4 linked regions of the Schizosaccharomyces pombe genome follow. The protein of the gene in region 3 binds, or shares a complex with, the protein of the main gene of each other region. Each region holds a gene or a part of one and is shown on either strand. Other genes may lie near its edges. The genes, in order: snr1, rsm27, mrp2 and rsm23.

The links.
Region 1: mrp2 (region 3) and snr1 share a complex: the UniProt entries of both Schizosaccharomyces pombe proteins name them as parts of the mitochondrial small ribosomal subunit.
Region 2: mrp2 (region 3) and rsm27 share a complex: the UniProt entries of both Schizosaccharomyces pombe proteins name them as parts of the mitochondrial small ribosomal subunit.
Region 4: mrp2 (region 3) and rsm23 share a complex: the UniProt entries of both Schizosaccharomyces pombe proteins name them as parts of the mitochondrial small ribosomal subunit.

The regions. Positions count from the first base shown.
Region 1 is NC_003423.3:2,976,906-2,984,202, reverse strand, and holds snr1 (mitochondrial 37S ribosomal protein mS47 ), read right to left. Parts: upstream 3,202-7,297; 5' UTR 3,142-3,201; coding exon 1,852-3,141; 3' UTR 1,763-1,851; downstream 1-1,762. Other genes in the region: fib1 (fibrillarin, rRNA and histone methyltransferase), read left to right, coding at 522-1,439; yml6 (mitochondrial 54S ribosomal protein uL4m), read left to right, coding at 3,757-4,542; mmp1 (endopeptidase catalytic subunit), read left to right, coding at 4,734-4,861, 4,905-5,031, 5,079-5,297; MBF transcription factor activator Rep1, read right to left, coding at 5,619-7,037. UniProt on the Schizosaccharomyces pombe protein: Component of the mitochondrial ribosome (mitoribosome), a dedicated translation machinery responsible for the synthesis of mitochondrial genome-encoded proteins, including at least some of the essential transmembrane subunits of the mitochondrial respiratory chain.
Region 2 is NC_003423.3:3,066,839-3,075,262, forward strand, and holds rsm27 (mitochondrial 37S ribosomal protein mS33), read left to right. Parts: upstream 1-5,415; 5' UTR 5,416-5,555; coding exon 5,556-5,791; intron 5,792-5,856; coding exon 5,857-5,894; intron 5,895-5,947; coding exon 5,948-5,955; 3' UTR 5,956-6,149; downstream 6,150-8,424. Other genes in the region: snoRNP assembly factor Naf1, read right to left, coding at 1-659; SPOM_SPBC30D10.14 (dienelactone hydrolase family protein), read right to left, coding at 1,158-1,907; pyruvate dehydrogenase e1 component beta subunit Pdb1, read left to right, coding at 3,705-4,805; gpi1 (pig-Q), read right to left, coding at 6,150-8,111. UniProt on the Schizosaccharomyces pombe protein: Component of the mitochondrial ribosome (mitoribosome), a dedicated translation machinery responsible for the synthesis of mitochondrial genome-encoded proteins, including at least some of the essential transmembrane subunits of the mitochondrial respiratory chain.
Region 3 is NC_003424.3:2,503,032-2,509,784, forward strand, and holds mrp2 (mitochondrial 37S ribosomal protein uS14m), read right to left. Parts: upstream 2,854-6,753; 5' UTR 2,814-2,853; coding exon 2,559-2,813; exon of another isoform or gene 2,510-2,558; coding exon 2,463-2,509; exon of another isoform or gene 2,422-2,462; coding exon 2,406-2,421; 3' UTR 2,234-2,405; downstream 1-2,233. Other genes in the region: AP-3 adaptor complex subunit Apl6, read left to right, coding at 1-926, 977-2,233; mitotic spindle checkpoint WD repeat protein Bub3, read right to left, coding at 3,268-3,908, 3,954-4,275; threonine aldolase Gly1, read right to left, coding at 4,882-6,012. UniProt on the Schizosaccharomyces pombe protein: Component of the mitochondrial ribosome (mitoribosome), a dedicated translation machinery responsible for the synthesis of mitochondrial genome-encoded proteins, including at least some of the essential transmembrane subunits of the mitochondrial respiratory chain.
Region 4 is NC_003423.3:2,063,434-2,070,774, forward strand, and holds rsm23 (mitochondrial 37S ribosomal protein mS29), read right to left. Parts: upstream 4,558-7,341; 5' UTR 4,506-4,557; coding exon 3,075-4,505; 3' UTR 2,754-3,074; downstream 1-2,753. Other genes in the region: telomerase reverse transcriptase 1 protein Trt1, read right to left, coding at 1-90, 132-280, 327-511, 553-722, 774-890, 931-1,200, 1,240-1,310, 1,350-1,742 and 4 more; ribosome biogenesis protein Rrs1, read left to right, coding at 4,960-5,460; gef3 (RhoGEF for Cdc42/Rho3/Rho4 (Gef3)), read left to right, coding at 6,953-7,341. UniProt on the Schizosaccharomyces pombe protein: Component of the mitochondrial ribosome (mitoribosome), a dedicated translation machinery responsible for the synthesis of mitochondrial genome-encoded proteins, including at least some of the essential transmembrane subunits of the mitochondrial respiratory chain.

The sequences.
Region 1 (7,297 bases), on a different chromosome or scaffold from region 3:
AGTGCATTGTTAGCTCACACCGAGTTTATATGATAAGGTATAAGAACTAGTACTAGGTTGGAAGAACTACAACTAATAACGGTTCTGACAATAAATCACTACCTCTTGTAACTCTAAGTTTAGTTACTTCGATTGTCAAAACGTAATTATTATATGAACACAAGTAGAGATGTCTATTCATTCTCTTCACCAATCTTTCAAAAGAATTATATTGAATACCTCTAATTTGTTGCTGAGACCTAAAACAATTGCTTTTCAAACAGCAGGAACCCATCTTTTGCTACATATGTTTACCTTACTAATGAGAAGTTATGAGCTGCAAATAATAACACTGCGATGCTACTAATGTCATTAAGTTAGCTTTAGCGTTGTTTACCTTCGTTAACTAGAGGTTTTACAGATTGTTTCGAACTCGTAAAAATTTTTAGCGTTGCAGAATTGTGTTCGTAGTCACACCAACTGTAATCCTCTCTGCTATCCTAAAAATTTTACAGACCCATTACCTACCACAAAAAAAAATAATGGCATATACACCAGGTTCAAGAGGTGGACGAGGTGGCTCTAGAGGAGGCCGTGGTGGTTTCAATGGTGGCCGTGGTGGTTTCGGCGGTGGCCGTGGAGGTGCCAGAGGAGGAGGACGCGGTGGTGCTCGTGGCGGTCGTGGCGGTCGTGGAGGTGCCAGAGGAGGCCGCGGTGGTTCTAGCGGTGGCCGTGGTGGAGCCAAAGGAGGTGCTAAAGTTATTATTGAGCCTCATCGTCATGCAGGTGTCTTCATTGCTCGCGGAAAAGAAGATTTGCTTGTCACCCGCAATCTGGTGCCTGGTGAATCAGTATACAATGAAAAACGTATTAGCGTTGATTCCCCAGATGGTACCAAAGTTGAATACCGTGTATGGAATCCTTTCCGTTCTAAACTTGCCGCAGGTATTTTGGGCGGTTTAGACAACATCTATATTAAACCTGGTGCACGTGTTTTATATCTTGGTGCTGCTAACGGTACATCCGTTTCTCACGTTGCTGATGTTGTTGGTCCTGAGGGTCTTGTCTACGCTGTTGAGTTTTCTCATCGTTCTGGACGTGATCTTCTTAACATGGCTAAAAAGCGCACGAATGTCATCCCCATTGTTGAGGATGCTCGCCATGTTCAAAAGTATCGTATGTTAGTCGGAATGGTTGACGTTGTTTTTGCAGACGTTGCTCAACCCGATCAGGCTCGTATCGTTGCTTTGAACGCCGCCGCCTTTTTGAAAAACGAAGGTGGAGTTGTTATCTCTGTTAAGGCTTCTTGTATTGATTCTACCGCTGATGCAGCTGTTGTTTTTGCTCGTGAGGTTAAGAAAATGCAAGAGGAAAAGATTAAACCTCAAGAACAACTTACTTTAGAGCCTTACGAACGTGATCACTGTATCATCGTAGGAAAATACTTGAGACATCAGTAAACAGAAATATATGCCATAAGTGCATGCTTTTTTAGTTTATCATATAATTTTTTTTGCTAGAAAAGCTTATGGTAAGGCCGTGAGCAATTGGAATAATAAAAATATATTTTGGGTATGCGTTTGGCAGTTTTGTCAATTATTTTCTCATTGTTTGATCCAATATGGGAATTATGGAATATATATTAATGCCGTTAGCATTCTTTTTTTTGAACTATCGTACGCACAGCTACCGAAAAAGAGTTTTAGTATGAGTATTTAAAATGGCTATCATTATTTTTAGCTGCTAAAAAGAGTTATGTGCTTTATCGCATGCTAAAACATAACAGGGTCTTTGAAATAAATCATCTTATTATAATACTGAAAAAACTTAGTAGACATAAAGAACAATATTTAATTTATGTAACCTTTGGGATTATAAATAAGGATAAGTCTTATAATTCCAAAGGGGAGTTTTACGTCTTCCTTTTGCAGCAAAAGATATCCCATTATTGTATTCTGAAGGCAACTTGAAATAGTTTTCTAAATCTTTAAAGTGATATTCATGGGATTTGCTCCATTTTGGATTTTTGGTCTTTGTAATAAGTTGAGCATTAACACCTTCAACAAAATCAGGCTGTTTAAGCATATAATAGGAAACGATATGATCATAGTAAAATGCTTCAGATATACTCCACTTAGCAGCAGACTTAATAAGTCGATTGGTAACAGCAATTGAAGTCGGAGATTTGCTATACAATGTTTTAACGGTAGATTTTGCAAATTCCGCTAAAGCACTAGTGTTTGAAGCATATTCTTTTAACGCACGAATAATATCAACGGTATCATTTTTGCAGAAGCATTTATTAATGACATCCATAACGTCTGGAGTAAAAGTGGGTGGTGAACTGCTAGCAAATTCGGCAAATTCCAGGATTGTATTATTGATTTTAGAAATATCAGACGTGTTTAACTCTGCAAGCCTGTCCTCCAAATGAGGAAACATATGCTTCGGAACGAAATGAGTTGCAATTCCAGTACGCAGGCAATCATATCCTTTTACGATTTGAGATGTCAATCCCAGATAAGTTCCAAAGTATCCTGGTAGTCTACTGAAGAAGAAACTGGCAGCCACGTCAGTAAAATAGCCAATTCCGGTTTCTGGCATAGCAAACATCGTATCTTCACACGCAATACGGAAAGGAACATGCATAGCCAAACCAGATCCACCTCCCATGGTGATGCCATTCATCAAAGCCACAACTGGTTTCTGGTATGTAGCTAACGTATGGCTTAATCGATACTCTTGAGCAAATGCATGGCGAACTTCAGGTAATTTTCCATCTTGTATTGAAAGTGCTGCAGCTTTAATGTCACCTCCCGAACTAAAAGAGCGACCATTTCCTTTAAGAATAATTACCTTGGCCAGATTTGATTCTTCTAATGAAACTAGCTTTGGTAGGATTGAATCTATCATGTCAACGTTGATAGCGTTCAATACTTTTGGCCTGTTTAAAGTAAATATCCTTGCTCCATTTTTACTCTCGTATAAAACTGTATCATTTGAGGAAGTGCTATAAAATTTTGGATTTCGAATAAACGCTCTAGACATGGTGCTACTTGCATTCAAAGAAAGGAAATTTGACACACTTGTTTTAAGTAAGGATTGCCTTAACATAAATCCAGATTTTTTCAAATCGTTAGAGATATTTAATTTCAATCCCATGAAAGCTAACCAAGTTAAATAACACCGATTATTTTTGCATAGACGGTTAACGTCTCTTCTACGTTACTTTATAACGAAGTGTGTTCTTAATTGTGAACTAATAACAAATCACAAAAGACCATTCGTAAAACAAAGTAGGTTTCCATGCATTAGCTGGGCAAATACTTGTCTCAAAAAATCTATATTTAGTATTAATTTAGTTTCTCAGGGTTTGTCGATTTTAAAAGTCTTAAACCACTTGTTGCATAGCATTGAGTACTCAAAACTGTTATTGTAATACACAGGTGCTATTTGCAACAACAATTTAAGGTGTCAGAATGAGCAAATTCCAAATATTTAATGTACGACATCACATAGTATAAATAATTATTTCTTCTATTTTAGGTAATGAATGAGATATCATTAATTTATCTAACAGTATACAGTCATAAAGTTCCTGTTGCATAAAACAACGTAATTTAATGAACTCGATACTTTACGCTTTACGATACTTTTGAATGCACAATATGTTATAATGAAATGCATTGTGATACTTAGTACATTGTGTTAGACTAATTGAAAGTAAAATACATCCATTCTTCAGGTACTAGTCGTCCATTTCACAAACTAATCAGAATGACAGCAAAAATGTTGCACTTGGTGCGATATAAATTTCCGTCGTTGGAGCCCGCGAGTCTTTTTCTTATTCCCGGAAGTTTCCTGCAAGAAAGATTTCGTCGAGATATTTTGCATCGTGCCGTTATTTATGAAGCAGATAATGACCGTCAAGGCACTGCTAGCTCAAAGCGCCGAAATGAAATTACTTGTTCCGGTCGAAAACTTTATCGACAAAAAGGTACAGGACATGCACGGGTAGGCGATGCCTCAAGTCCTATAAGAAGAGGTGGTGCTAAATCACATGGTCCTAAGCCTAGAGATTTCAGTACAAAATTACAAACCCAAGTTTATAATTTAGCAATGAGGATTGCGCTAAGTACAAGATTTATTAATAATGAACTGACCATCCTTGAAAATCCCATCAACTTAAGTCAACCAAAAACACGGATTTTGCTTGAAGTTTTGAAGCAACACAAGTTAGGACACGAGTACGGGAAGGCACTTTTTGTCCTTAACGATAATTACTTTGAAGATGAGTCCCTTAAAAATAATAATTTATTGCTTGCATCTAGACAGTTAGGCTACCATTGCTCCTTTATTCCTGTTGGTGAGTTTCAGGTTCGAGATGCACTAAAATTCGGTAAACTATTTATTGATTCTGAAGCCATGTCGTTAATTGTAGAGAAGTTTGCTCAACGAAATACACTAAGTGATATGGATCAACCTGCTTCCCTGACTGCTTATGTTGATGCAAATAGTAGTTCTTTTACGAAATCAAAACCTGAACCGTCTTTATCTCTATGATATGAAATAAACGCATATCTTTCAATTGTTTTTGAATTTCATGAATCTACATTTTCCGATTTTGGTAGTTACGGAAACATTATAATCCACAATCATTAATTCTTTTTTCAATCCTTTCTCTTGTCGTGTTTAAATTTTTTAATTTCGGCTTATTTAGTTTACTGTCTTGATTAGTTACCTCTTGGTTAACAATGGCTGGCATGTTCCGTATTCCTATTGCCGTCGTTCAGATTGCTGCATTTGTGCATCAAATTCATGAGTATCTTTTTCAAGTGCAAATGACATCGGGTCCAAGTATGATGCCAACATTAAATTCTGGGTATTGAAATAACGCTTTGTATTTATGGTTCTAACTTAAAAAGTGGTGAATTCGTTTTGTTAGATAAATTGCATGGTAGGTTTGCTCGTTCATGTTCTGTAGGAGATGTTGTTGTTTCGGCAAAACCTTCCGATTCAAAGCAACACGTGTGCAAACGAATCATTGGAATGGTGAGTATTTCACATGGAACGTTATCCTTTTTGTACTAATTTTATAGCCAGGAGATACAATTTATGTCGATCCCACCTCTTCAAATAAAAAAATAACTATACCTTTAGGTCATGTTTGGCTTGCAGGAGATAACATTGCTCACTCACTTGATAGTCGAAATTACGGACCTGTTCCAATGGGCCTTATTAAGGCTAAAGTTATAGCTCGTGTATGGCCACATCCCCACTGGATGTCTAACATTTTGAATGACATAGATGTGGAATAGGTATTATGAGCATTAAATATTATTCTACAACTCACTCTTGGCTCACCAGATGTTAATTGAAATGTATGAATTTATTAATATTTTTATGTTAGTTGGCAATTACTTGTTTGAAAAAAATGCTAATTCTAAAAACAAAAGAGAGACTTCAAAGATCGCCTCATAAACACTAATTAAAGATTAATAACTATGAAAAATTAAATTAAAGTACAAGATTAATGATAAGTAATAAAGCATGAAATAAATGTGTTTTAAATAAAGAATAAATCGTAGCAATCTCAGCTGCTGGACAATCAAATAGATGCAGCGAAACATGCTATAATCTTACCAATCACTGCAAAAACTCGAACCCAAAAATCCATCACCATCATCATAAAGACGATTTGGGGCAAACCCAAAGAGTCGCTCAACATGTGAACACGAGGACTCATGTTCCTGAAGTTTACTAATTGAAAGGAAAGGCTTCGTGCAGTAGCAACAAATGAATCGCGAGCGTGACAGTAAGGGACTACTGTGAAAAACTAAATCGGCATCATCAATATGCCTTCGTTTTGATGGGGGAGTAGAGAGCTCTGCTTTTGATGTTGATGTGTCATATTGCCTTTTACCTTTTAAAGCTTGCTTAGCTGCAATTCTGGCATCACATAATGTGCTATCACTATGACAAACACGCATAGGAATTCCACCGTAAGCAATTTCTTCATTTCCAAAATTACAGTCGGAAACATTAAGGGCCCGGCCTTCTTGTTGAAAAAATTTTGGTGTAACAGCAGGATATTGGATATCACCATTTAGGTTTGAGTAATTAAAGCCATTATTCCATGCCTGCATCCTAGTGTTTAATTGATCACAATTATTATCAGTACTCGTGACTGGACCATCGTTAGTATTCAATGCATAAACGTTGGGATCGAAAGGGAAAGCTGCTTTTATTTTTGGAGATGCTGAAGCAAAAGGTATGCTATCAAATTTGCTTGGATAATTATAGCCCGGTGCCCAAGTTGCAGACCGTTGCATTCCCAAGTCCAGATCATCACCGAAGCTAGATTGTAGTAAATTGTTACATGAGCCCTCATCCTCCGTGACACCACTATAGAACATAGTTGTCAGCGTTTCGTCTGAAAAGAGAGCGTTCTGACGGTTCGGTGCTACTTCAGGGCAACTATTGGAAATCTGATTCAAATCTTCGTACAGCAATGATGCGCAGCCGTCTCCTTCAATAACTAAAGAGATACAAACAACATTAGCTTTCGGCGGTGTTTTGAAATCAGTTTTCCAAGAGTTTAAGGGTGAACTTGTCAACGACAAGGCAGTTGATTTTTTCATTTTGACATTTTCAGAATTCAATGGTTGCAAACCATTAGCATCGGACCGATAAAGGCCTTGAAGCCTTGATTTCTGTCTATTAATTTTCCGTTTGTTCCGATTATTAATGATAAGTTTAACGGGATCGACAGAAACGGGTTCATCCCTAATCTTATCAAAGAGGAAGGGACTCTTGTTTTTGTCAGAACACATTTGGTGCGACCGAGAAAAGCCAGGATTGCTTGGTGAATCGAAAATTGAAAACGGGGTCTTTCCAACGTCATCACTCTTCGTTAACATTGAAACATTTAAATCAAATTTTGAAGGGTATCTACTTTTCAAAAAATTCTCTTTCCTTCTTAAGTTATTATCACTAGCAAAAGTAGATGAAAGCGTATTTAATGAAATTTCGTCTGTTAAACAACGATCAGAATCCATGACGTTCAAAGCTTTAATAAAGAAAATAAGGGTATAAATTCAGGAAAGTCAATTCAATATATGGTAATAGTTTGTCGTTCAGAAACAAACGTAAGGCTGTTTTATGGTTTTAAGCTCAACAGCAAGAATAATATATGAGACCTAGGAATTAAAAAGATATTATCGTATTGCCGTCAAGCTAAATTGCATAAAAGTTTAATATAATGTATAAGTTTAAATATTCTAAATTTTAAACAGTTTCAGCTTTAGCAATTAGATTT
Region 2 (8,424 bases), on a different chromosome or scaffold from region 3:
ATCGATTCCGCATCAGACTTTTCCTCTGCTTTCTCTTCTTCTACATCAGTTTCGGAAAAAGAAGTATTACTCTCTGAATCTGAAGATGAGTCTGAACTTAAATCAGCAGACGATTTACCAATAGAAGAGTTACTATGCGTAACCTCCGCAATTTCATCAGCGATTTTTACATTGGATTTCTCGGATGAATTAGTAGCTGGAATGCCAACTTCTTCGTTGCTAATGAACTCCTCTTTTGGCATGAGCAAACCTGATGATGGAACAACACAATCCTTTGGGTTAGCCAATGCAACATCCAATAAGTCGATTTTGTTCTCATCTTGATAGTTTTCCTTGTGTTGGTTTATATCTTCTGTTGAAGAAAATAAAATTTCATTATCTTTTTGCTTAATTTCGCCAGAATTCGCTGAAGAAATATTCTGAAAGTTAACTATGTTCGGTAGATTATTTTCAGTATTAGTATTCAAGTTGTTTTTATCGATTGGGTCGCCCTGTGGGGTATTGATATTATCGATAGATAAATTTGAAGGAATTTGATCTTCTTTTACAAAATTTGATGAACTTGCGTTTGTAGACAGTTGCTTCGATTTTTCAACTTTCGATTCATCATCATAAATCAACGAAAGCCCTGGTATTTTACAAGGGAGATGCGGATACATAAAAACGCCTTTCGAAAAAGTTTTCGGTGCTTTCAATTACGGGATTTGGCAGAATATACTGAGACTAAGTTAGCAGGACGTAAATAATAAAATTTGATTTATATACAATAAAAACATTATATTCATAAATAGAAATAAAACTAAATATTAGAATTAAAACTAATACAAAATGAATTCATCTCTATGCAACATATCATAGGCAGTGAAGCGTAGAGTTACTCGCAAAAAAATAACAGTGGCTAAAATTTTTAACTGATTTTAAAAGCTATTTTGTTCACGATCCTAAAAAACATATAAATTTGTAGGAAACAGTACTAAGGCATCTAGGTTGAGCAAACCTCAAAATATGTTACAGCCTAAGTGAATATTGGAAGCTTCACCTGTTTGTATTGTAAAGCGTACAGCTACTGTATCGAATAGTTTAGGTCATTAGTTAATAATTGGATTAAAAAAAATCAATAGCGATAACAAATCATGACTATCTAACAAACATCAAACTCACATTAAAGATTGGAAAAATGAAGAAACCTTTTGGTAGCCTTCATCAAAGCGCTTCCTTTGTTCGGGGTTGGAAAGGTCTGCGCGAGCAGCCATCCAACCATGGAACATGTCGCTGAATGTTTCGAAGGAAGACTTGGCATAAGCGGGGTTTGTCTTGAACGCTTCTTCCCATTCTTTGATGATTTTAGCATCTTCGTCTTTAGAGCAAAGAAACAATACAGGACAATGAACATTGGCTGCATCAGCGCTATCAGGGAAGGAAGGGTGACAGCTAGCAATTCCAACGAAATCAATTGTAGCGGGATAAGTGACCAAAACTTTAGCACCCCAACAAAATCCATAAGTGCCAATAGTAACATTTGGTCCATGGTTAGCGCGCACAGCTTCTACAACTTTAGCAAGTTTCGGCCAGTGCAAATTAGGAGAAATTCTAGTAGAAAAAAAATCATTGCATAACTTTTGGTCCTCTGGCGTCTTAGGGGGTAAAGCAGTAACTGGCAACGGCTTTCCCTCTAAGAAATCGGGTAAGTAGACGGTAAAGCCATCATCTGCCAATTTATCAGCACCCTCTTTAATTTGATCAGAGAGACCAAATATATCCATGAAACCAATCAAAACACGGGTATTGGAAGTAGATCCAACAACATAGGTGGTCAATCCTCCAAAGTTTTCAATTTCTTTACCCTTAAAGGTATAGGACTTGTTAGAAGCTGCGGCACCACGACTTGTTGGACAGCAAGAGGCCATTTTCTTAAATTAATCAATGGTTCGTACAAAAAGTAACTGTACAAGTTTATTAAAAAACCACAATAAAATGGTAAGTTGGGTGAAATTTCGTCAGTACTGTTGGCTGTATATATATATCATATCATACACATTATGTCAAAAATCGGCATTGCATATATTATAACGATATTCTCTATATTTCCATGGAAAATAATATTATGTATCAAATAAACACTGACTATAATTAATAAAATATACATCCTTTTTAATTGCAAAATGTATCGCGAGTATTAAAATTGAAAGCGGATTATTTTCTTTATTAATGCTTACACATAAACACTGTGTATCCATGATATCTTACGGCCGCATGCTTTAGTCCTTCATAAGTGTTATCCAAAAAAAAAAGAAAAAAAAATACAGCGTATGACTATTCATAACAAGTATACAAAGTAAACTTTTTTTCCTCTATCATCAAACATATATTCTGAGAAGTTTGTGAGTCGGTTTGTTTAGATGAGAAATAATAAACTTGCAGTTATGACACAATACCTACCAAAGATGCTATACACGGGACATACATTTATTAGTTGGGATTGCAATCATTAATTATCGTTTAAAAGTCTACAACAGTTGGTTTGCATCTATTGTAAAAAGAGGATTGTAGCATGCCAAATTATGAATTTACGGTCTCATTGAACGTCAAAGGCGGAAAAAACCAGGAAAACTTTAAGTAGTTAAGCTATGTACTTTTGTCGAAAAGTTTATGTCTGAACATTTATCTCTAAAAACGCCTTACCTTTGTTAAAGTCTTTAGAAAATGTGAAAAACTGCAAATTAAATATTGGTCTGTAGCTTATAAAACTATCTTCAATCTTTAATAATGCAAGAAATAATTTTTTGACTTCGCGTACCAAAGAAACCCTTATAACGCGTGTACTAAATATAACTTTTAAATAATACTGTCAATAAAAAGTCCGAAGTTAAAAAAGGAACTTTCTTTCATCAATTTCCAACTATAACTATTCAATCTGTTGTTGGTTTAATCATCAGAAACCATACATTGGTTCAAGGCTTGTTTATACTCAATGCTGTTGACCATTAAATAAAAAAAATTCCATGTCAAGCTAACGAAATTGTTTACTTTTATTTTCGCTAATGAATTATGTAGTTTATCATAATACAAAGCAGCTTTTATCTCTACATGGCTAGTACAAATCATATGGTGATGAATTTACTGTTATGAAAATAAAGTAATGCTTTAAGTATATTTGAGGGCTTCAAAATTCATAGTCACTGATGCACCGGAATCAATAATCCGTGCAATTATGCATCAATTTGAACCACAACTTTAGGCTGTTTTAACTTCTCGTTCATCACCTTTTTGTCGGTGTTTATGCTCTGCTTTTCGGATATCGCCCTTAGGAGTTCAAACGATCTATTGCGGCAATCAATTTTGAGCACCGTATCTAGTGATAACAAATTATCTTTATCGGTTAAGCACGTTATTGCAGCTGCTTCAGTATGTACACATTTCACTATTTAGCAAAAATAAGATGAAACAAATGATACTACTAAGAGGTTATAATCATATCAGACTGTTTAACCATTCTTTTGTCATTTGCAATAAACACAAAATTTATAAAAGTGGTAGTATTCTTGTTAATCATCTACGTACTGTATTTAATTTGTTGTACCATAAGCCAACTCGAAATATTTTACCATCACACTGTTCTACTTTGCCCACTACACATATACAACAACACAGCGGGATAGCCCTAATTTTTAACGAAGTTAAAAAGAAGTTTGAGGGAATTTAAAATGATTCGTCTTCAAAAGTTTGGTGAAATTGTTGGGACCAGTCGTTCTTGGAAACTTCTTAGTTCAACCATCGCAAAGCGCTATTCTTCTTCTTCCAATGGAGTGAAGGAAATGACCGTTCGTGATGCTTTGAACAGTGCAATGGAAGAAGAAATGAAACGTGACGATCGTGTCTTCTTGATTGGCGAAGAGGTTGCGCAATACAATGGTGCTTATAAGATATCTAGAGGTTTATTAGACAAGTTTGGTCCTAAACGTGTTATCGACACTCCCATTACTGAAATGGGTTTTACTGGTTTGGCAACAGGTGCTGCTTTTGCTGGTTTACGTCCTATTTGTGAGTTTATGACTTTCAATTTTTCCATGCAGGCTATCGATCATATCGTTAACTCGGCCGCCAGAACCCTGTACATGTCTGGTGGTATTCAGGCTTGTCCTATTGTCTTCCGTGGACCTAATGGGCCTGCCGCTGCAGTTGCTGCTCAGCATTCTCAACACTTTGCTCCATGGTATGGTAGTATCCCTGGTCTTAAAGTAGTTTCTCCTTACTCAGCAGAAGATGCTCGTGGTTTGTTGAAGGCTGCTATTCGTGATCCTAATCCCGTTGTTGTACTTGAAAACGAAATTCTTTATGGTAAAACCTTTCCAATTTCGAAAGAAGCGTTGAGCGAGGACTTTGTGCTTCCCTTTGGCCTTGCTAAGGTGGAGCGCCCCGGTAAAGATATCACCATCGTTGGTGAGTCTATTTCTGTTGTTACTGCTTTAGAAGCAGCTGACAAGCTCAAGGCTGACTATGGTGTTGAAGCTGAAGTTATAAACTTGCGTAGTATTCGTCCTTTAGACATCAATACTATCGCGGCCAGTGTTAAGAAGACAAATCGTATTGTGACTGTTGACCAGGCATATAGTCAACATGGTATTGGTAGTGAAATTGCTGCTCAAATTATGGAGTCTGACGCATTTGATTATCTTGATGCTCCTGTTGAACGTGTAAGTATGGCAGATGTTCCCATGCCTTATAGTCATCCTGTTGAGGCTGCTTCTGTCCCAAATGCCGATGTTGTTGTTGCTGCTGCTAAAAAATGCTTGTATATTAAATAACAAGCTCAATTGTTGAGTCATCTGTTTAATAAAACCCGCTCTTTTCCCTTTTCCGAATAGTTGATATCTACGTATTTCGCTTTCTATTATTTTTACATTATCTACAAAGTGTAAATATCTAAGATGCTTGTCTTTAATGACTCAGATTATTGTGTGTGGGTCTTAGATGGTTTTAATTTCTTTGCAATTATTTGCGAAGATATGATTTTTCCAACCATCTTTCCAATTGGTTATCCGGGTTGGTATATCTACCTTTCAGGATAGTTTTGCTTCGTTTATCCTTAATATATGTTATATTGTATATATTACTAAATTCGTGTAAGTTTTTTAACGTAATCTGAAAGCCAGTGAACTTCAATTATATTATATTACAGCTAATGGAAATAATACGCTATATGAATATGTTCAACTATTTGGTGTCTATTATACTCTACTTAACTACTCGTAACCTCTTAAAGCGTAGAATATTAAGTACTTGATCCCACTAAACCTATTTACAGGTCTATCTTTAGTCAATGCACCAAAATGTTTCCATGTGGGGTTGATGAACTACTTATCCCACATCATCCGCTGTAGTATATCTAAGTAGACTTGCGCTAATAATACTTACAATAACAGAATTTCAGAATCCTTGCAGATGAAATCATAGTAGTGTCTTTAGCCTTATTATTGTTGTTTTTATTTCGTTTTGCCTTTAACTTTAAGCAACCACATTCCCTAGGAGCCTTCCCTAATTTTTGGTATAAAATCATGGCTAGCAAAGCAATCCTGGAAGAATTAAATATTCTCTCATCAAAAATATTTGGCACTCAGTATAAATCAAACAACTCGAGAACGGGTCGCAAATTTGTAGTACAAGAGCTGAAGGGAGCAAAACTGAAGAGCTACTATCCCGCAACTATCAATTATCGTCAATTAAGGACCCTTTTAAATGATAAAACATTTCCCGATAGTGATGAGGAATTGCGAATGGAAATCAGGAAAGGGTATGTTAGTTGTTAATTGAGATTGAATGTTTCTTTCACAAGAAATTAGCTAATTAAAATACTAGGAGAATACGCCAAGGAAAAGGAGCCTCCAAGTCAAAAAGTATGTAAAGCTTACTATAAAACCGAATTAGGAACCTTCTAACTCCTGTTTAGAAAAATAAATAATTGAAAATTGTGCCTTTCTAATACTTTGCGGTTACATTTCGCACATTTTCTTTCCAATTATTATCAAATGGGTAACGGCTAAACAGCTTTGAACGAAACTGATAAACTAAGTTTAATTATAAAAATTTTGTTGTTTCATAAACAAAAAATATTATATATCAACTGTGTGCAACAATACTTAACATTTTGATCAGTCGTAAGGAAATTTTTTCTGATGAAAAAGAAGATCTCGCAGTTTTCTAATAGATATTCTTTTGGTCGGAAGCATAGCGTACTGGATATTGTAGAGTTGCTCAGCAGGTATCGCTGGAACTGGGCAACCTACGAGCAAACTAATCAAAGTAGTTTTTGAAAGGTAATGCGAAATTAACCTACGCGCCAGTTTCCGATAATGCTCAAACATGGATCCAAGAGACATCGGTTTGGAGTTGCAATTGAGATATAGCGTTGCGAAGCCGTCTTGTTTTAATGGTTCAAAGCTGACTATCTCAAAATTCAGCCCACTTGGTATTCTATAAGGATCTTTAATTCGTAACATTGTAACAAATAATGGGAAGTGATTCAGGAAGGCTAACATAGTTTCACAGATTGCCAAGCATGTCATCACGGATACTCGTGTTAATGCAAATGCTGCATAGAAAACATATATTGTAGGTAAGAAGAATATTAGTACCGTAAAAAGGATTGTTCCTAAAAGTAGTTGGTCTAAATCATACTCATATGAGTCGATTCTATTTCGTAAAACGTTTCTTTTTTTTCCTCGAAAAAGCTGCAGCAAACTATAAATTACACGTAGCTGCCAATTATACAAACGTGATGAAGCCAAATAAAGCAAATGTATATGAATAGTCATAACACTTAAAAAATCAGAAATTAAAGCGATCATTAAACTAGCACCCCCAAACCCAGAAATAGCGACAACTTGAACCAAAAATGGAGTCCAAGGCAAACAATGCAAAAGAAAATTACTCCATACGTCAATAACCCATACAGAAAGCTTCATAATAAACTTGCAAATGTCGTTGTTTAGTTTTAATCCAGCAGGAGTATCCACGAGCCATATAACCATAGAACGAACGTTTTTTATCGCATACTCGAATGTGATATTTTCTATTAATTTTACCACCAGATGAAGATTCTCTAAAATAAATGAACTCATTGTAATCCCAAAGATCATGTCATTCGCAACCAACCAAAGGTTGTTATAGAATCTAATATATTCTTTGTAATCCTCTATCGCAACGCGCTTGCTTTTCCGAAAAACCCATAATTTCATATATTGTACAGGCCAAAAACACGCTTGTTGCAACCTCAAATCTACTTGACGAGCAGAAACGAAAATATCCATCATATTATAAGATAAAGGAATCGGTCGGTAATTAATCGCCAAGAGTATAACCTCATTAATTATCCTCAATAATATGATAAAGTAAGCAAACAGCGAATTAAAAAAATAAAAGGTTGATGACGAGACACGATCAAAAAGTCGAAAAACATATGAATTTTTTTTGTTATTATTTTCATGTGTTAACATGCGAACCTCGAAGGATTGATTAAGAAGCTCAATTAAGCCTGAGCGTAGACTCCTTTTCCAGCTATTTTCTTTGCGTCGGGGAAAGTGCAATTTCAATTTTTTTAACAGTATTTGCTGGTGTTGCATGCTTTCGTATTCAGGGTTTGACTTGTTAATAAAACTATCTTTTAACAATAAAAGCGATAGAGGTTCAAGGGAAAGAAATTGCATTTTTCTTGGCTGCGGAGGATGATAATAAATTATATGCAGATTTATTTTTAAAGGCGTACTAGCCGAATCGAAAACTCGGGGATGAGAAAGCTCAGTCGATTGCTGCACTTTGATCCAACAATCAATTTCATATTTGTCACCCGGCAAAATATCGGCAGAGCAATTAAACGTGCCTAATATACACAGAGATTTAATATCTACTGATTGATCTTGATTTTTGCAATAATCAACTAAAAAATTAGCGAAGGATTGATAACTAGTAATTGTTGTCACAACGATAAGATCGTTGGTAGAGTACTTCCAACCAACTAAGTAACCAGAATCGGTATAAGAGATCGTACTTTTGGGCCAATATATCCGTTTCACTTCAATTGGAGCCGAAGCTATATTCATGGTTGTGGTAGACATTTGAAATATAATATTGAATGCTCTGAAGTCAATTCCGAAGTGTTTAATAAAAAAGACAAACAAGTAATAACAGACTTTAGAAGCATACAAAAAACTTTTGTTAAGAAAAATATAACAGGAGATGATACTGCTCTCTCCGGTGTTTAGAACTCAAGTTGTAAAATCAAAAACTTCCTCGACGTAAAAGCTGTTCCCTTGCAGAAATGCCACCGCTAACTGACGTTGAGTTACGAGCTTCGGATTCAGCGATTCGTTCTAAAAGAATGAAAATAAAAAATCCTAAAACGGTAAACAGTAGTACGTATGAAGGAAC
Region 3 (6,753 bases):
AGATAGCAAAAAGCTCGAGTCTTTCTTTCGAAGAAAATGAGCTTTCCCACTCCGATTTATTACGCCTCTTGAACTCCAACTCTGATGCTGGCAAATTAGAGGCGATTAACTTCATTTTAGCTCAAATGATGCACGGCGAAAATATGTCGTTATACTTCCCAGATGTTGTGAAGTTAGTTGCTTCAGAAAATCCGGAAATACGACGCCTGGTCCATATTTATTTACTCCAGTATGCTGAGTTCAATCCAGATCTTGCTTTGCTGTCTGTTAATACTGTTCAAAAAACACTGTATGATAAAAACCCGTTAACTAGATCTACCGCAATTAGAGTTATGAGCAGTATCAGGGTGCCTGCCATTAATGGAATCGTTCTTTTAGCAATTCAGCAATGCATTACTGATACAGCTGATCGCGTTCGCCAAAGTGCGGCATTGGCAATTACAAAGTGCTATTCTCTTGACCCTTCATATAAATCGCAATTGGAAGAGCACATCAAAACGCTTTTATCTGATAATAGTCCTATTGTAGTCCCAGCTGCATTATTTACTTTTGAAGTCGTTTGTCCTGAGAAATTAGAAATTATTCATCCATATTATCATAGGATATGTACTCTTTTCCCGCAAATGAATGACTGGGACAAAGTAGTGGCTTTGAAAACATTGGTTAGATATGCCAGACTTACATTACCCGAGCCTTCAACTCCTTCAACACATTCAGATTTAAAGGAACTACTTGAGTCAATAAAGTCTTGCTTTTTCTCTCTTCTTCCGAGTACTATTATAGCAGGTGCTCGTGCTTTTTACTATCTAGCTCCTTCAAATCAAATGCACTTAATCGTTGAACCATTGTTGCAGCTTTTGCTCGAAAAGCCAATTGTTAGGACGACAACTTTACGATATATTTCTCAAATTGTATATAAAACACCGGTAAGTATATATCATTGCCCTGTATTTAAACGACTCTAACATGATATTAGGAATTATTTAAAAACCATATAAAGAGTTTCTTTCTAATTGCTTCTGACAGTGACGATACGTGCCTTTTAAAAATCAACATATTGTCGCGTTTATTGGATGCTCAAAATTCATCGCAAATCCTTCCCGAATTATTGTATTACATTAACAGTCATCCGAATCCTTCTGTTGCATCAACGGCGGTAAAGGCATTGGGTGATTTTGCTAGTGCTAACATTTCTATGGCCCCCTCTTGTCTTAACACTTTATTGCTGTTACTTAAATCACATAATAGCCTTATCGTGACAGAAGCTGCCTCTTCACTTCGGCTTCTCATTCATAATGATCCTAAAGAAATATATCTGCAGTATTTAGCTGCAACGTATGAAACTTTGGAAGTACCGCGGGCCAAATCCGTTACACTATGGCTTATTTCGGAGCATATACTAATCATACCGCGACTAGTCCCTGATGTGCTACGCATTGCTGTTAAAACTTTTGCTGATGAGACATTAGAAGTGAAGTATCAAATTCTCGAATTATCGGTAAGACTATATGTTTTGTCTCATTCTGAAGAGAAGCAAAACGATTTAGAGTCAAGAGATGATGTCGTGTCACTACTTTTTAATTATGTTTTATCTTTGATACACTTTGACATGAGTTACGATTTACGAGATAGAGCTAGGTTTTACAAAGAACTAGCTAGTACACCGAGTTCTGAATTTACTAGGCGCATCGTATTGGAAAGCAAGGGGAATAGTCAAAAAGAAATTATTGCTTCTCGGGACTACTGCATTGGTACCGCTAGTTTATGTTTGAATGAAGACGTGATGGGATATGAGCCAATCCCTAACTGGGCTGATGTCTCTGATTTACCGCCTGATTCTGTCCGAGAAGGTATCAAGGATGTTTTGCCAATAAACCCTCATACGGGAAATATTTATTCAAACAATTCACCGGGTGTGAAAGCATTATCTTCTGATAACTTTAAACGTGATTTTGGAGATACTAACGCAATTAACCGTCCAAAATTTGTTGGCCAGCAAACGCTTGAAGAATTTTATGCTAGTGAAACTTCTGAAAGTTCTGAAGGAGAATATGAAACATCAACCAGTGAAAGTGAAGATGAAGAAACGGATGATACTTCTCAAGAGGAAGACAACGAAAAAAATAGTACACCTGATGAAGATACAGAGAACAACAATACCAGTTCTATATCTACTAAAAGTATAATGGATAGGCCGCTCACAGAACCTGAACCTAACTATTGGCAATCATAAACAATTGATAATGTAAATATTCAGTTTTGGAATGTAATCATGCAAATAATTGTACTTCATTTAAACGGCGAATAAATATTAGCTAATAATAAACATGATGGATTCACGGAAGATAATTAAAGCTTTTTATTTCAATAACGCTTATCATGGATTGAAATACAAACAACGATTATTACCATGATGCCTTGCTGAATGGATTAGTGACAAAAGTAAAAATGCTTATTCTTACCGAACTCCGGGTAATTTATTAGCTAGTGCTTTAAGTCGAAAAGGAAACTGAAATAGTCAGCATCAAAAATGCATTTATATGACATTATAATCGTACCCTTGCAAGTCCAAACGCACGAAATACACCTCGGCCTCTACCTGTCTCAATACAGCGATTTTTTATTTTTGTAGGATGTGCATTAGTCGGTAAAGCCTCAATCCGCTTTTTGGCTTCTAAACGCACCCGAAGAGGTAGCTCAGGATTTCTATATATATAGAGATTGCTTTGACGTTCAACTTCGTGTTCAGCAAAAAGTCTCCTACATAATAAATCACGAAATGCTTTATGCTTCAGGTGGCCCAAAGCCCTCATATTTTTTATTTCTGGTTTAGAAGGCTTCTCTGTTGTGTTCAAATTGTGAGTGTATTCTCAGTAGATGAAATAGTCAAAATAAATTACGAACTGCGCTAGCGATCTGTATAATTATAGTTATTTTAATAACTATAAACAATGTGAATAAGAGAAACAAAGTAAATTAGATAATTTCTACCAAATAGTGTCACATTGTTTTTATATTAAGTATTTTTAATCGTAACCCGTTCTTTATATAAATATGGTCTTGCGTTTATATTAATTGCTTATTAACTTAATATATATAGTGGAATAAAAAATAATAAATACCGTAATTATCACTTTGAAGCACTGAGGAAATATTGAACATTTACAACATTAAATAGGAGTGCTTCAAATAATATAAATTTCATATGTATGCAGTAAAAGAATCTGCATAAGATTTTACATGGATGAAGCTTTTTGATGAGCGATTTCATGACTTTAACTTTGGAGCTGCAAAGTTGGATTCCAAAGCATGAACATAGATATTACCAGCGGCTTCTTCTTGAGCACAAGTGGCAATTGCAAGCATGCTTCCGTCAACATTAAAAGAAATAGATGATATATTGATCTTTGAAGGATTTAACACTCTTAATCGTTTTCGGACTTGTATATCCCAAAACGCAACAACGCCATCTCCCCCAGCAGTTGCCAATGTTTGATGAATCGGATGAAATTTTAGGTCGTTAACTGGATAAACAATATCGTAGTCCTTTTGTATCTGCCGATGGCATTTAAAGGTAAAATTTTTGCTTTGCGCTTCCTGAGACGGGTTAATATATTCAACAGATGTCCTTCCCTCAATGCTGGAAGAAACGAATCCCTCAAAATTTTGGTTACAGCAAACACTTCGAGTCATATACTTAAAACTAGAAGGACGTCGCTGAAATGGAAGTTTTAAATTTCGAATATCGTACACCAAATTTTCTCTTTCTGAACAGCCTAGAACCAATATATTATCTCTCGAGCTACTTGCAAAAATTTTTTTTCCTATATCCTGTCCCTCGACAGGTTGCTTTACGCGAACATCCCAAACACGAAATGATTTGTCCCAAGACCCACTAATGAAACAGTCTAAAATGTTAATAGAATAGCTGGCTAATAAAATATATATCTTACTTTCCAAACGCAACTTAGAAATGCACGATACCCCCTTACCGTGGTTTCCTAAAAACTCATGGTTTCGCGTATTAAGATCGAGGGTAGTAACTGTCCCATCTAAATTTCCTACTAAAGCAGTTTTTTCATCTGTATATTCTAAAGAAAGAATAGGACTTGATAAATCGTATTTCCCTAAAAGTTCGGGATTTTCCGAGATTTGATAATGCAGTAAGCTACCATCCCAGCACCCTGCAATTAGTTCGTTTTTGACAGAGGGTGAAAATATTACACTTGAAATCCCGTCTTTTGAATTTTTTAGTAATGTTTTTGAGAAATTCATGGCAGACTGACAGATGACATGAAAAAGGAGTTTGGCGAGGTATAGGCCTTTAAATGTTGCTTCAAAAGGACAACGTCGAAGTTCGATGGTAATTGACCGAATTTTACGAAGATGAATTTCCAACGATGCCGATTATATTAGGTGTTAAACATAAATACTTACGTTTTCATACGCGCAAATTACTGTTTCAGCTTCTTTTCAACAAATTTTGACAGTCTGTGCCTCACAAGTATCTAAGATAAGCGAAGCGAATTGCTAATAGCTGTGTAAAATAAATTGCAAAGGAGCTGATTCTGACAGTTTAAATATGATGTAACAACCGTTATATAAGACATAACTATGAATACGTTTCAACACAACTACGTTCTACTAAATACCACTCTAAAGCGATGAAAAAAAATCATAAAAGAAAGAAATGCACATAACTCTACATACTCATACAAAAAACTGAAAGGCAATAGTAGATGTCAGTCAACTTTGACAAGTGAATGTACTACTGTAAAAATAATTTGAGCGTCGACGAGAAAATTTGCCTAGTTGATAAAGCAGAAAGAAGATTTAAATAGAAAATAAAGCTTAGAGTTTAGGTGACATGTGCAAAATCCCTTAATAGCCGACACAAAACTCACCAGGTTTGGCAACAATATGGGTTTCAACTGCTTGACGCTCAACTGTGCGACGTAAAACGTTCTTCAAAATCTCGACAGCATCAGGAGTGATCTGAATATGAAACACGATACGAGGTCCCATTAAAATGATTCCAGACTTTTTGGCTTCATCGCAAAGAATAGCAACGTTGATATTGGCCAATGTCACCATGTTACTTTGAGTGGGAACTTCAAGCTCAATTCCAAGAGATTCTGCGTATTCGGCGACTTCAATAGCATATTTATGGACCTGCTTCAACAAAGGAAAGTTATGCTGAATTGAGTATAATCCTGCAGCAGCAAGCATACCAGATTGTCTCAATCCACCACCATAAGCCTTACGGAACCATTTGGCTTTAGCAATAAAGTCTCGTGGTCCCACAATAATGCTACCAACAGGAGCCGCAAGACCTTTGCTTAGGCAAAGACTAACGGAATCAAAGTAAGAGCAGTACTCCTTAATTGAAACGTTGGAAGCAACAGCAGCATCCCATAAGCGAGCACCGTCGCAATGCAGGGGGATCTTGTGAGCCTTAGCTAAACCAGATATACGAGCCACTTCATCCAATGGAACGACAGCACCTTTAATAGTATTTTCTAAACAAATCAACCCAGTGGGTGAAAAGTGAATATCATTTCCCAGGATAAGCTTGTTCTCAATTTCCTCGGCAGTAATATATACATTATTTTTTGGAGAAATAGGACGAACAATAGCTTGCGTAAACAAACCAATTGCACCCGCTTCCCAGTTATAAATATGGGCGCGATCATCACAAATGATACTATGAGGAGGTTGATGCAAATGACTACGAATACACAACTGATTACCTTGAGTACCAGATGTTACGAACAAAGCAGCTTCCTTACCAGTCAACTTTGCAACATAAACTTCCAACTTTCTAGTATCCTCATCTTCCTCATAAACGCAATCACCATCAGAGGCCTCATACATGATGCGACGCATTTCATCGGTAGGAACAGTCAAAGTGTCACTACGGAAATCATTCCAAGGACGATACTTTTTAGCGCTCCCTTGGTTGGAAGGGCATAATCTTGTTTCGGTAGTCGTAGAAGTAACGGATCCGCTCATATTTTTTTTTTATCAAAAAGGAATTGACGAAACTAAATTTAAACACCTGCAAGCTAAGTTTGACCGCAAGACACAAAAATTGTTTTCAATGTAAAATAAACAACAAAAATATATTTATTTTACAGATCTAATAAATCGTTGAAGATCAGCAGTTCAACGAGAAAAAAAACAAAAAATTTTTTAGACTGTTGAAGCCCAAAACCAAAAGAATCTTTAACGAAATTTAACAGTTAAATTTTTTCCTTATCCAGAAATTATCTTTTGATAAAGTAAAGATGCAGTTGAAGGCACTTTCTCTTTAAAATCTGGGCGTTTTTAAATAAAAAAAAAGCGACTTTTTACAATAGTAAGAAAATCGCAAATCACAACCTTTTCAGTTTGAAGATAAGTAACTAGTACTTTTTTTTCAAAATATCAATTATAAATAAAACTTATAAATTGATAATTATACAAAAATACCAAATTGTTGGTGTTGGTGCCACAACTGGGAGATGGTTAAGGTTAACTTTCAAACCATTCCAAAAAATTTACCACTTTAATGGATAACGGAATAAACTGCCAAAATGTTGTGAGCGCCCGGAGTAAGAAATTAGATCCGCCAGGATATAGCAGGCTTTATAATTTGGCAACACATATAATCGCAAAATAATCAAAAAATATCATTTTTCTCTAGCCATATAGTAACCATATATTCTCGAACTATAATTTTATTACTAAGCATCGAACCCAACAAAATTATGC
Region 4 (7,341 bases), on a different chromosome or scaffold from region 3:
CAAATCTTCCATATAGAAATGACACAAAAAAGATGACAGAATTGAGCCCTGAGGGATACCAACTTTTTGAAGGTATTGAGAATTTCCTATCTAGTTTCATTAGTGTTATTACAATTCAACAATTGGTATACCTTAACAATGTGTCCAGAGAGATGTTCCTTGAGCATTTTAAAAATTTCAGAAGAACTTTTGGTCCAATAATCCACAAAATCAACAAACAAAGTATCTGATGTTTTCATAGAAAGTAACTGCACGACTTTTTCAAAAGGCACCATATCAACTAAAAAAGAATTTGTTAAAAAATTCCAATGAAAAAATAAACTTACAATAGGAAAACGCCTCACTAACAAAGTTTTTTGTAGCTCGGTCACTTGTTGCATGTATGGTTGCATACTTTCGAATTACAAATTCGGGATCCTTGAGTTTCTTTTTAACAATCCGAAACATCAAATCTTGCTTTATTCGATCATAACAGGATTTTATATCTATCCGTACAAAATACTTCTTACGCCTGCAAAATTAATAATGAGGAATCGCGCATTATATAATTACCCAAACATTCGGTGCTTAAGAAGATCCTTCTTAAAAGTAAGAAGCTTCATGTAAACCTCCAAGTTAAATGGAATACCACTACTTTCTTCATTGATTAAATGTTTCAGTATCGATGCCACAGGTCGTAAAGTTTGGTTCGTACTGACTAACATTTTTTTGTTTGAACCCATCTGCTAATAATAGATTAGAAGTAAAGTACATTGATGACCAAAAATTAATACCTTTATTAAGAATCTTTTTCTTAAATTCGTAATGAGACGAAAGGTATTCTTCTTAGGTAATAGACGAATAACTGCTGGAGGCAAAGTAGTTTTCTGAGTATCCATCCTAACATTGTTCTGAAAATATTAGCTTTTTGCAAAAAATACTTTAAAATACCTCGTTTATTTTTTCAAACGCTTCCATTTTCATTGATGTAATAAAGGGTCGGCACAAGAGTTTCCAAATATCTTTTCTAAAATAAACAGTTCGATTTCGTAAATCACTTGATTCAGTGATATAAAAAAAAGATTGTAAAATAGGTATTATAAACGAATTGTATAGCCAGTAGATGAATTCCGCAAATATTTGCTTGCGTTTCTCAAAATCACTTAAGCACATTTTCGCATTTGACCTTTTTCCAAGGACTAGCCATTCAATTTCTGAAATCTGATTGTTAATTAATGGTAAAAAAATTTGGCATATTACCTTTATGTTACTCATTAAATAATGTAAACTAAAAGACTCGTATCTCGATAATTTCAAGAAAGTTTCGAGGTCTGGTAAAATCGTTAGTGGTAATAAATTTTATACAATACCTTTTAATATTATCTCAAATATCCTTTGGTTACCCCAGATTAATTTAGGAAACACTCGAACAAGAATGGATCGAAGAAACGCAAACACCTGGTTCGGCTTTAAGGAATAACTAAGGATTTTTTCATCATCGTGGGTGTCAATATATGGGCAATAATGGTTGTAAACTTTTGATAGAGAAATACGATGGAGTCGCTTTGCTGTTTGTTCAATTAAAGGGTATACCTTTAGGAGACGTTTGGGCACAACTGTACTCTGTGATACCAGTGGAATCACTTTGTGCAATTGCTTCACTTGAAATGCGTTTATAAGTCCAAATTGCCTTGGAAAAATCCATTGAAGCCACATGTGTACTGTGTTCCGATCACAAATAGAGTGTAAGTTAAAATATAGATCTAAAATTAGTTATGAAGGATAACAGTATTAGTTACCTTGCTTAAACTTCTTATAGGATGACCTGTAAAAAATGCTAAACCTACTAATTGAAATGCTATTCCAGGAAACTTCTTTGCGGGCGCTTTTATTTTGAGTAATGGATGTTTCAATGGTTCGCTTTCTTTTTTTTGACACAGTTTCCTCAAACACATTATTTTTAAAAAGTGGTATGCCAGAAATCTGAAGGTAATTGTCATTTGGAAGAGCCTCAAAAATACTTCCTTTGGATAATAAGTAATGCATGGCATCACTGCCGATACTATACTTGTCAGTCTTGTTCAAAGTGCGCAACATCTTAACCGGTATTTACATTTCTAACAAAAGTTGCCAATTTTTTGACTCAAGTATAGATATAAGGTAATTAGGAAAAGTAGAAACGAGATCATTTTGTACTCCGTTTACATGCATGGCTCGAAAATCTTCATGATTCTTTATCGGTTAAATACAATCTCTTTGAAACAGTAATTGCAGGTAAATATTTCACAATTAGAATACCTTACCATGGAAAACCCTTTCATCAGTAGATTCCTTCGACGCTCAAAACTTTCATCGAACATCTGTTTTACAACATTCGCTATTAGCTGCCCATATATTAGCTATCCCGAATAGAAAAAAATCAAAACAAAAATATATATACCTCTGACTGTGAGCATTTTGGAGAAGAAAATTGAACACCTTCATCTGGCTTACTGTCGAAGCCGACTACAGTCGAATGAAGAAAAATAGAAAAGGACGTTTGTACATCGCTTCTCAAGCGTTCGCATATATTGCTATACGAGCTTGCCGGCGACCCTCTCAAAACAAGTTGTACATAATCATTTAAGGTACATAGGTATACATATTGATTCTCTAGAAAGCGAAGAATCCTGCTTTTGGGGGTATGGTGTTCGGTCATGCAAGTTACAAGTAACCATTAAGCATAACTATATATATGCAAAGTGTCCTACTGATCATAACGTTTTAAATAAATAGTGACCGCAAATATTGATTAATATTTATAATTATAGGATTTTTTTTATATAATGATAGCTAATAAATGTTTTGCAAAGTATCTTTAAACTAATAACATTACACGAGTAGAATCACCAATCTTTCTACTACTATCAATTATAAGCGAAACTAATTTAGATTATTCATTAGGGGGAATAGTGAAAAAGGTACGATTCCAGGAGTAAAACGGAAAAAAGCCTAATACGAGATGATACATATTTGGAACAACATGAGAATAGAAAATAGAAAAATAAAACCGCGTTAAAGGAGTTGTAGTGGATAGAAATTTTTGAATATCTCAATCATGCTAGACGTGTGCAAGCATCAAAAAACTTTCGCGGATTACCACCACTAAGGACATGATTTTGCAAATAATTATCAACCTTTTCAAGGCAAACGTTGGATGATACCAAATACTCCATCATGCGACGTGACTCATCTAAAGTGTAAGGCTCCATGTTAAGAATATGCACGGACTGTAATGAATCTAATATAGTCTCATCAGAAGATTTGTAAGGATTTCTGTGAGCTACTCCAAGAGCTATATCCAATGACGGGGTAGAAACACGCGGTTGGCTAGAAGTAGCAGCTAAAACAGTACCACGATTAAAAGTAAGCGAACCCGAAATATATTTGAAAAGTAAATTAATAAAGTAAAAGTCTTTAGGGGGAAGGAAGTTGTTCTTTTTGTCCTTATACTTGGTAACGACCGATAAAATAGAAATATTATCGATCACTAATAACACCTTCATATTGGAATTTGACTTGGTATTGTTATTGAGTTCTTGTAAAAATATTTCCAGAGATTTAGGAGCGTTCGAGGAAGCAATTAGCTTATGAAGAAAGGAAAGTAAATCGGTACCAGCAGGAATGCATTCGTTCTGAAGCAACTCATGACTTTCAAAGGTCTTTAGCTTCTTAAGTTTATCAGAATTAGTTTTCATAACAGAAGTTAGAAATCCCTTAATTAAATCTGGTTGCACCCACAACTTGAGTTGCTCATCATAACCATAACTACTCGTTGAATTTACCCATCCTTCGCAGTTATGGACTGGCAAGACTATAAAATTAGGTTGTGATAAGGCGAAAAGTTCAGCTTGTATGAGAGCAATACTTCTTCCTGAACCTGGAGCACCATCAAGAAGAAAACGTCCGTCCTTCGTACCCTGGTCTTTGGAGCGCTGCAGTACATTCACTAATTCAGTTGTAATTTTCCTGTGCAAAAGGGAAGCACTGGTAAAAAAGGAGAAACTTTTTTTTTGTTTTTCTAAAGCCCCAAATCCATTAAGTTTATTAAGCAATTCCTCGGGGATTTTAAACATCTTACCTTCAGACTTGCTGGACCAAGACATATGCGGATGAATTTCAGAGGGCTTCACCTCTTCTAAAGTATTTTCTCCTTCATTTAAGAGATGATCCAATACAACGCTACTATTGGGAATAGTCGTCGATTTCTCTACTGACGAAGTTGAGGGGGGAATTTCATTAATTCTTGGCGCTTCCGAATTTTTTTGACGCTGCTGGTTAGAGCTTGAATGTATATTTCCTCCAACAGGTCTACCCGTATGCTGGTATTGTGAGGATGAATAGTATTTGTTAAATGTGCATTTTTCAAAAGTGTAGAGTCCTCCCAGTTTACTACCGCAAACAGTCAGTTTTCCACCGGACAGGATATTAGAAATTCTCTCTGTATTCTTAATAATACTACTTCTGCTTCTAAACTTCGGTAGCATTTTGTTAGAGGTATTTTTTTCTCGTAAATCTTAAGTATACATATCTGTTCTCACGTAAATGAAGAGACTGACTGCTTCCGGATGGTAAGTATTTACTGAGCTCTTAGCGCATTGCTAATATTTTTTAATAGGGTAGATTTGGCGTTCAGTAATAAAGAGAACTAACGTATTGCTAATAAGTGTCTCTACTTTTGCAAAAACTAAAGAATCGTAAAAGTTTTCTTACTTTCTTCGTTTGTCATAAAGAAAGTAAAAACAGTAGATTGCTGAACTGAAAGAGAGCTTTTTCTCTTATATATTCAGTAGTTTGATAAAAATTTTGGAGTTTGAAAGAAGAATTTCGTATCCTGAACCAACTTTTTAACAAATCAATTTTGCAGTCTTTTTTGAGAACTTTTTGTCACTTAATTGTATTATCAACCCTTTTTTTTTCCTTGTCCCTATTTCGTTAATCATGTCTGCACAAATAGAAAACTCCATTCCTCTAGATTTCGATTTGGGAAATATGGCTGCATTTGATATTTCTCCCTTAGATGAAACTAAGCTTAGCGGTTCAGAGAAAGAATCATTCCTTTTTTCTCTCAGTAGAGATAACGTTCAACAATTGGTGAACAAAATGATTTCCTTGCCTAAGGAGCGTACATCAGATGGCGTCCTTTTACAGCTTCCTGAAACTGTTACACCTCTTCCTCGTGCTAAACCTTTACCTAAACCCAAGCCCGAAACCAAATGGCAACGGTTTGCTCGTATTAAAGGTATTGCTCCTAAGAAGCGGGAAGGCAGGTTGGTGTTTGATGAAGCATCTGGTGAATGGGTACCAAAATGGGGTTATAAGGGTAAAAATAAGGAATTAGAGACACAATGGCTTGTTGAAGAGGGAGAAAAGGAAAAGAAGCTTACTTCCAAGCAAGTGAGAAATACCTCAAAAAAAATCAAGCGCTCTCGTCGCCATTAATTGGTCCTGCTTAAAAAAAATTTTTCTTAATTTAAAAATTTACTATAATTTAGCTATTCATGGGTTAAGTGGTATAATATCATTTTTATTTTGTTATTATCGTTTGTTTTTGTTTGCTACAACTAAAATCCCTTCTTCAATTGGGATATCAACGGGTACAGAAGGAATATGTAAGACATCGGTTATGTGGCTGCTTTGTTTACACATTTTTATGTGTTAAAAATTAACGAGCACTTTTTTGAAGCTGCTACTCGAAAATCGAACGTTAAAATGTTGAATGTTTACGAGTTAAGTGTAAAGTAAGTTTTAACAGCAACTGTTTTGATACACTGTGGGATTTCCTCCAATTGAATTTTCTAATAACCTCTTGTAAAAAAAGTTTCATACAGTTAAAATGCGACCATATCGTAGTTAATTATTATTTTCTGTATGCAGTCTTAAAAGGCTGGAACATCATATTAAGAGCCCAACTCATGGCTAACTGATATGCAACATTTTTGAAATGTTCAACAAACAGAATTTCATCAGACTCAACAATAACAATCCTTTCTAAATTACTATATAGATTGCAACATCAGTCTAAATATCTGAATGCATTAGTGGTGTAGCGGTAACATTGGAGCTTCCCATGCTCTAGCTCCGGGTTCGACTCCCGGCTGATGCAAATATAGCTGTGAATTTTTAAAAATATAATTGTTTATGTTCTAAAATTGGTTTTTGCATTTTCTATGAATGATATACTCAATCAAAACATATCCTTTTGAGTGGTAAACATAAATTTTTAGTAGATTATATAAATAAATGTGCAAGCCATACTTCAATTTCTAATCATTTTTAAACCGAGTGTATAATAAGTTTTCTAATACTGACTTGTTTATTTAAATATTTAACATAATAATTAATTTTGATATGAGATTGATGCTTTTAGTAGTAATAATAAAAAAAATTTAAAAAATGCAAATAAATAGAAAAAAAATTAAAGAAAAACTCATTAATCCAAAAAAAAGCTTACCAATATTATCATTTGTTTCTCGGTTGGCTACTTCGTCGATTTTATGGTGTATATCATTAATTTTCTAAGTATTGTTTACGTTCGATATTTTAAGCAAATACTTAATGCATCCCCAAAGACCACTAGTTAGTTTTAAAAAATAAGAAAAGAAAATAATTTATGTACAAATAACTTTGCTTATGTTGATAAAGTACAATATCATTGTAGTCATTCTTTCAAAAGCGGAATTCTTTCCTATATCCACTAAGGTAACCTGGTTATTCTTGCCGTCCGCAACAACAAAGAAAACAGCTATTCAACTATTTCATTGATAAAAGCGTTACTCTTTGGATTAAATTAGCATTGTATTTAAAGAAGAAATCGACTCATCAACGGCCTTGCTACTCTGTTTTAGCTTTGTGAGATCTAATCAAACGCGCTACGAACTCCTAAGTGCCCGCGTTTGAGTAGATAACTCATTGAATCAACAGCCGATTAAAGATGAGTAACCCAAGGATGTTCCAAAGCCGTGGAAAAAGAGTTGTTTCAGATAGCTTGCCTATAGCCAATTCGACACACACTTTAGAAGATACTTTGAAATTACGGCCTGACTGGACCATAGCGTTAAGTCAACATGAAACTGAAACAAGGTCGACAAGAACTAGTTGTAGCACTACCACAGAATCGACGATTGCTATGAGGAGTAAACAAAAAGCCATTATTTCTGTTCTGGAGGAATTTCGTGATTCAGAAGCCGCTTACGTTCATGATCTGCATGTAGCTCAACGGTACTATGCTGACCGATTATCGGACCGAGTAAAAAAAAGCGAATGGAAAGATGTGTTTGAGATTTTTCTGGTATTGTGCAAGCAAGCATCACTTTTCGAAAT